Linked DNA regions of Xenopus tropicalis. The protein of the gene in region 2 interacts with the protein of the main gene of each other region in a biochemical or structural test. Links are inferred from orthologs where the notes say so. Each region holds a gene or a part of one and is shown on either strand. Other genes may lie near its edges.

The links.
Region 1: of the proteins of cyld (region 2) and mib2, one has a biochemical effect on the other in vitro, tested with the Homo sapiens proteins (2 studies listed by BioGRID, with this or other methods). The link is inferred for Xenopus tropicalis from reciprocal best matches to the Homo sapiens genes CYLD and MIB2.

Annotation. Positions count from the first base shown.
Region 1 is NC_030683.2:92,207,601-92,211,427, forward strand, and holds part of mib2 (E3 ubiquitin-protein ligase MIB2), read right to left. Parts: coding exon 3,700-3,827; intron 2,968-3,699; coding exon 2,786-2,967; intron 1,558-2,785; coding exon 1,492-1,557; intron 314-1,491; coding exon 72-313; 3' UTR 1-71. UniProt on the Homo sapiens protein: E3 ubiquitin-protein ligase that mediates ubiquitination of Delta receptors, which act as ligands of Notch proteins.
Region 2 is NC_030680.2:51,209,498-51,213,324, reverse strand, and holds part of cyld (ubiquitin carboxyl-terminal hydrolase CYLD), read left to right. Parts: intron 1-222; coding exon 223-355; intron 356-2,260; coding exon 2,261-2,369; intron 2,370-3,787; coding exon 3,788-3,827. UniProt on the Homo sapiens protein: Deubiquitinase that specifically cleaves 'Lys-63'- and linear 'Met-1'-linked polyubiquitin chains and is involved in NF-kappa-B activation and TNF-alpha-induced necroptosis.

The DNA.
Region 1 (3,827 bases), on a different chromosome or scaffold from region 2:
CAGACATGTTGCTTGTGTCTACTAAATCCACAGTTACGTCTCAGATCCAGAAGATGCACTTTCTTTCCTACTCAGACAAATATCTGTATCCTCTCTCTGATAAGCTGCCTGCATATGGGACAGGCAGTCAGGGAAGTGCTGCATTCAGTACAAGACCCATGTCCACACTGGAACACCAGCTTGATGTGATTGTCGATACAAATAGGACAGGTGATCCTTTCCTCCATTTGGCGGTATCGATTCTGGAGCTCCTCCATTACTTTCTTCTGGTCTGACACTTCTAAACTGGGACTGCATTCAACTTCAGTACTGTCTAGAGTTGGGAAAAGAAGGAATATTATTTGCATTGTGTGATGGCCCATGTGACTTAAAAAACAATTGCAGAGAAAACAAGAAATTAGTGATGGCGGAATTATTCATCCACAGCGGGGTGTGGAGTGTAGCCAGACCACAGACTTACTCCCTGAATGAGCATTGTAAATGACCCCTTATGGCATTTTGATACAAAATAAAGCAGGGATTGATTTAATTAAAAATGAGTAGAACCTGAGATAAATTTTTGCTATATCATAAGCCTCACAAGCACACAGGATAAGAGAATAAAGAGCAATAGAAAATAATTACACTTAGGGATTCCCCATTTCTTACCAGCACCAAAGAACTGTTGGAACTGGCCCAGAGCAACTTCTGAAGCTTCTGAAATGAATATGATCTATTCCACTGGGATTAAAGTATTAACTGGTTATATATTTTGTCCCAATAACAAATAAAATCATTCATATCCATTCTAGCACACAGAACCTGCATTCATTAGACTTAAGTGACTGTAGAATGGAATAGAATACATTTTGGTGCATGTGCATACAAGACAAGTTAATGTAAGTGTAGGACTATGAATATGAGTGTATAAGGGTGAGGAAGTGGGAACTTTGGTTCAAAGACGCGCAGTATTATTAAAGGAAAAGGAACACAATTAATATGTATCAAAGTAATGAAACTATAATGTATTGTTGCCCTGCACTGGTAAAAGTTGTGTGTTTGCTACAGAAAGACTAGTTTATATAAACAAAGCTGCTTTGTAGTAATGGGGGCAGCCATTTAAATTGAAATAGTGCTAAATAGCACAGGTTACGTAGCAAGTAACAGATAAGGTCTGTAAAACACAATTGTATTTTACAGAGCTTATCTGTTATGTAACCTGTGCTTTTTCTTTTTTTCCAGCTTAATTGGCAGCCCCTATGGCTACACAGCAGCATTTTTTTTTTAATATAAACTACAGGAATTTTTCTGCAGCCAACAAACAACCTTTACCAGTGCAGGGCAACAGTATGTTATATTTTAATTACTTTCATTTTATGGTGTTACTGTTCCTTTAATAGAGCATTATTCAAATCATCCACTACATGGAAAAAGTAGGACAGCACTGTTTTAATAGAACTACATGTTTGCCCTGTGACTACTGTACCATCTAAATGGCTTGAAATTACCCACCTTGCCTAAGCTTTCTTGCTATGCACACTTGACATTTGATGCACTTCTTCATTCGTCTGGAACATTCTGTGAGTGAAAAAAACAGACTAAAATGGCTCAAAACAACATTGCTATTACACTTGATAAGAGGCAGGTTATTTAAAGGATTAACAAAGCCAACATGTGAGATGCATTGTACTGACGGACTTCTTAAACATATATTTTAATGTTTCAAGAATGTTTTAGATAAAAAAAACAGAGCAAAGTTAACAAATGTTTATCTGTGCAGAACAGACCATCCACCCATATGTCTAGTGAAGAGAATAGTGGGCAATGAGACTGCAATGGGTAAAACTATAATACTATGGAACCAGGTCTAGTATACAATAGCACTGCTGTTTGGTTTGAAACAGGTGACTGGAACATGCTACCTGCTGATTGGCTGAACTTAACCTGGACAAAACCTTATGACTTTTATTACATTATTCCCAAGGCTGTATTGGAACGACTTCAAACATTTGTGAAAGAGACAAGATTTTAAGACTGACTAAATTTTAGACTGTTGTCTTTTACACTCAAAAATAAAATTATAAAAGAAAATGTAATTCAAAGGTACTTGCCAATATACTGTACAAGTTTTTCAGTGGTTTTAAAATTATTTGTAAATGTAATTGCACCTGAGAACAGTATCTGTGCCCTTTGCTATTGTCTGCACTAGTAGTTTGGACTATTGAAACAATGTAGCAGAAGCCAGATTATAACAACCCTGGGAACATGCAAGGCAGTGAGATAATAGAAGTCAGTGCAGAACAGGACAGATAGACACTGCTTTCATTTGCAGTTACATTTACTACACAAAATGTTTAATGAATGTAAATTTGAATGTTGTTTATATTTATATATGTTTTTCATTATGCAAAATGTCTAGGTTTACATCCCATTTAATGAGAACAATCTTATTTTACATAATGCAGCAGTGCCATCTGCAGGACCTAATATCTTGGGCATGTCTCTTTTTCCCTAAGCGTTGGAGGTTGCATCAGAACTAAAATAAAGACATAAACATATAAGGAACTCTTTACGCGGCTGGGTTTCTGTGCAATTCTATAGGGCACAATGAGCAGCAGCGTGATTTCTGGTGTTTCTTTGGGAGTGATTTTTTTTAGCTGCCAATATAGAAGTTGTAAAACAATATTATATGGTATATTATAACATGGCAGTTCTGGCAAAAGACAAAACTAGGAAACCAAGACATCCTTATTAAGTCATGACAGCACAATTACTTACATTGATGATACCTGGAAGTTTCTCTTACCTTCACATACTATGCTGTGTTGGCAGGGGAAGAAACTGACTAGTACGGCCAGCTCAGAGCATACTAGACACTCTGCAGGACTGGCGGCACTACAGGGGCTAAGGTTAGTCATAGTATTAGGTGTAGTGTGGACTCTGCGGAGGCTGCAACTGACGGTTGGTGAGTCTAACTCCACTTGTTCTCTAAAGAAAGAAAGGATTATTAAGAATATTTTATTTTAAAACAGAGGGTGGTGGTAGAAAGTATCCCTCCCAGCTGTGTGATAGTATAAAAAACTAAACCAAATCATGGCTACAGCTGAATTGCATACATGGCTGTAAATGATCCATTGCTGGAACATTGTCAGTTGTTTAAAGCAATGATAAGTCAAAGGAGAACCTTCTTTAGTATTTTTTTGTCTCATTGAAATAATAAACTGTGAGACTCTGGTTGATAATAATGGGATGTGATCAGCAGTGATCTTTTGGATTTCCCCAAAATTCATATGTGCCATTAGCCGTATAACTGGCAATAATCTGCAATAAGTGTAACTCTCTGTACAGTGAGCTGATATTATTGCATGTGATACATGGAAACATAAGAGGTCCTGCACTGGAAAAACCTTCTGTGTAGCAGTTGGGGCAGCCAGTGTAGATGATAGAAAATGGAGATAACACAAGTTATATACAGATAAGCTCTTTGGAATATATTGGTGTTCTACAGAGCTTATCTGTTATAGGCTATATAACCTTTGCCATTTAGTGCTACTTCACCTTGAATGACTGCCCCAAAGGCTACACAGCAGCTTGTTTATATAAACTATTGTAGGAAACACAGCTTTTACCAGTCTAGAGCAAAAATACATAATATATATATATTTTTTTGGTGTTACTGTGCCTTTAAGTTTACTGTATGGTAAAATGGCCCTTTGGTACCTGAATTTCTGTGCAAAGTTTTTCACAAGGTGCGTTATCCTTCCATCTGCGATCAGGTCCAGGGGAGACTTCCCACGGTGATTGGCATAGTTAATGTCAGCTCCAGACAGAGCTAAAAAGCAAGCCAT
Region 2 (3,827 bases):
TTTTGTTAGGAAAGGCAACGTGTTCATGTACAAGTTACATTTTCCCTTAATAAACCATATTATAGTGCAGGCTTTCTATTTCATTCATCCGTACTGTATATATTTAGGTGTTTATGAGCCACCAGTGAATAAAGTCTTTTGTGTTGTACAGTTTTCTCGAACCTTTATTTATTTGTTGAATGCAAATCATCCCCCATCAGTTCATGTAATTGCTTTGTCTAGGTCAGCAGGTCAGAAGGTACAGGACTGCTACTTCTACCAGATTTTCATGGACAAGAATGAAAATGTTGGGGTCCCCACAATACAACAGCTTTTAGAGTGGTCCTTTATCAACAGCAGTTTGAAGTTTGCAGAGGTTGGTGCCATCAAAACCAGTCAGATGAAGTTCTGTGCTGTAATTTTTAAAACCCAAGCTAAGGATGAGTTGACTGAATATTCTGTATAAAAGGCTCACTTAATTAGGAAGGACTTATCTTAGCTTCATGCTGTGTGTGTGCCATCCCACCGGCGATGGCAGGTGATGGCAACTCGGGGAGATTAGTCGCCCGCGAACAGGGAGTTTTGTTGCGGGCGACTAATCTCCCCGTGTGCCAGAGCCCTAAGAGTCAAAGACACAAGAGGATGGAGGTCCCTGCCCCGTAGAGCTTAAAATCTAGATGGGAGGGTAACTTACAGACACAAATAGGCAAATATAAGGGCTGTAGGTTACAGTGGGTGACACTGCAATATAAGTGCTAGTTCCCAGATCAGGGGCTGTGCGAGTGCTCCAAGAGGAAGTCTTTAAAGCTGGCCATACACGCACCGATAATATCGTACGAAACCTCGTTTTGTACGATATTCCGTGTGTGTATGGCAAGTCGGCCGATATCGCAGGAGGCTGCTGATATCGGTCGACTCGCCGATCGGCCAGGTTAAAAGATTTTGATCGGACGCCATAGAAGGCGCCTGAGCAAAATCTGCCATCAGGGCTGAATCGGCAGAAGGAGGTAGAAATCCTATTGTTTCTACCTCCTTATCTGCCGTTTCAGCCCTGAAGGTTAGTGGCAGATTGTACGATCGCAAATCACCACGTGTGTGGCCACCTTAAGTTTAGTTTTAAAAAGACGGAAAAAAGGAGGATTCTAAAAAGGAGGATTCTCTCTGGAGGAAGTCTGGGAGGGCATTCCACATGTAAGGCGCAGCTAGGCAGAAAGGTTTTAGGCGGGATACAACAGTAGTAGTGGGGGGCGCAACCAAGCGGTTGCTCTGTGAGGAATGGAGGAGTCGGCCAGGAACGTATGGAGACACAAGACACAGATGTAGTGAGTAGCAGAGGGATGGAGAGCCTTTAAGATTAAGAGAAGAAGTTTGTAAGATATTCTTTGTTTAATGGGAAGCCACGATAAGGACTTTAGCAGGGGAAGGGCCTGAACGCTCCTGGATGAGAGGAAGAGAATTCTGGCAGCAGTATTTAATACAGACTGTAGAAATCAGACATACGTTCAGGGAGAGATTATGCTTTTACAGCAGATTATGAAGAGATTATGCTTTTATAACCTCGGTAAATTTGGCATACCTTGCAATCCAATTAGGTGCCCTTTTAACTTTAAATGGTTCTTTTAGTGGTCCCCTAAATACAATTATTTAATTCAACAAACCCCTGCCTTTGGCACTACAACTGTGGTAAAGTAGTGTTTGTTGTTGCCCTATTGTTGTGGTGGCTATTATTTAATTATAAGAATTGAGTTACTTAATGCCATAAAGACACAATTCTAATTAAAAAAAAAAGTGTATAGAAAGCAGTAATTATTTATCACCCTACACTGTCATGTTCAGTAGTGAGTTATTAAGTTCAGTGAATCTGGTTAAATTGTATTTGTTTAGTTCTTCTGTCTTCTCTTTGGTCTTCAGGCTTGGCACATTGCAACGAGTCTATCTGTCTTGTTGCTGGTTTCGACACACAGAGCTACTTAGTAGCAGCTACTTGTTACAGCTACTAAAATATCCCGTAATAGACAATACTGAGAATTGCCTCTGCTTAAACACACATAGAAACAATTATCAGTAAAAGATCAGCATTGTGTATTATACTAGTCACAACAAGTAGCTGCTACTAGTAGCTCTCTGTGTGTTCACCCTTATACCTTTCAGTTTACCATATTTTTGGTAAACAGTATATATTGTTTGCATGTTAATTCACAATTCTCAAATTTAAAATGGTGCTGCTGGTGGTTTTTGGAATATGATTCTCAGAAATCCATTCTCTTCTCTTTTTTTGTAGGCTCCCTCTTGTTTAATTGTCCAGATGCCTCGGTTTGGCAAAGACTTCAAAATGTTCAACAAAATATTCCCTTCCTTGGATTTGAACATCACAGATTTACTGGAAGACAGTAAGTAAGATTGAGCTTTTTTGTAGCCAAGTCTTATGTTATACTATTTTAAAGATCACATTAAAAGCAGTGTATCAAGCAATTAGTTATTTTAAAGGAGAATGAAAGGCTGTCACTTGGGGGTGCCAAAATGTTAGGCACCCCCAAGTGACTTAAATCGCTTACCTTATACTCTGGGCTGGAGAGAACAGCACCAGCCTTTAACAAGAAAGGCGGCTTTTCACTCTACTGCGCATGCGCCGGCCCAGGGATTTTGCTTGCAGAAGAAAGAGGAAGGAGGAAGCGATCGCTCAAGGTACCCTGGGCTGGTGCTGTTTTCTCCTAACAGGGGCACCAGCCCGGGGTACAAGGTAAGTGATTAAAGTCACTTGGGGGTGCCTAACATTTTGGCACCCCCAAGTGACTTATCCTTTCCTTCTCCTTTAAGAATGTGTAAAAGCAGTACAAACACATTCCTGTAATTTGTCAATTGGTAATATGGTCAGTATCATTAGTTATGCGGTACCGCACTATATTTAAAACTAATAATTCAGCTTCTATACAATTTACATCTATATCTGTTAAGGTGCCCAAACACTGAAAGATCCCCCCCCTTTTTTTTTTTTTTTTTTTAGCAAGGGCACCAGATGAGTGGATCCTTCCATGGTATGCCCACATTGTAGGTCTCATTGGATCACATTGACTGGTTACAAGCCACTGGGACAAGGACTGTGCTGATGCAGTACTTTGCTCTGAATTTTTAAACCTGCTCAGTCGACATCTGCCCAACTTTATCAATTGGGCAGGCCCACCTGAGGGCCCACTAACACGGGCCGATAAGCTTCTGGCCATCTGTAGCATTGATCAGTCTGTGTATGGCCACCTTTAATTAATGGTAAAAAGTAAACCAAAACTTCTACAATTAATGGCACACCTATTGTTTTATTCAATTTGATCTTCTTGGGCAAAACCTGACATACAAATAACTAGAATCACTGACCTGACTGAACGTGATACTGTAAAAAAGAAATTCACTCCTATAGCACAAAAACAAGCTTAAAAGTGCCATGTAATCTACATTTAAATCACAGCAGGAATCGCAGCTATAGGTGTGCCACAGCCTTGAAGCTAAAACTGAACTGTTGTCATGAATGCTGAATAGGACTAGTTGATTCCAGAGACCGAGAACACAGTAACTAAAGCTCCATCTACTCTGTATATGTTCATAATGCTTCCCTTGCAGGAGCTGTTTAATATAGATTAATATGTACGGTGTGCAGTTGCATTGAAACTTTATATCTATAGCTCTGTGTATTCCAACCAAAAAGGGCTTGATGCACATCCTTCTGAATAGCTTCTAAGAGTTGTTTTAAAGCTTAAAAGTTGCAGGTTTATTGCAGATTAATAGATCATTTTCTTTTTAAATGTTGTTCTTCCAGCTCCCCGTCAGTGCCGCATATGTGGAGGTCTTGCTATGTA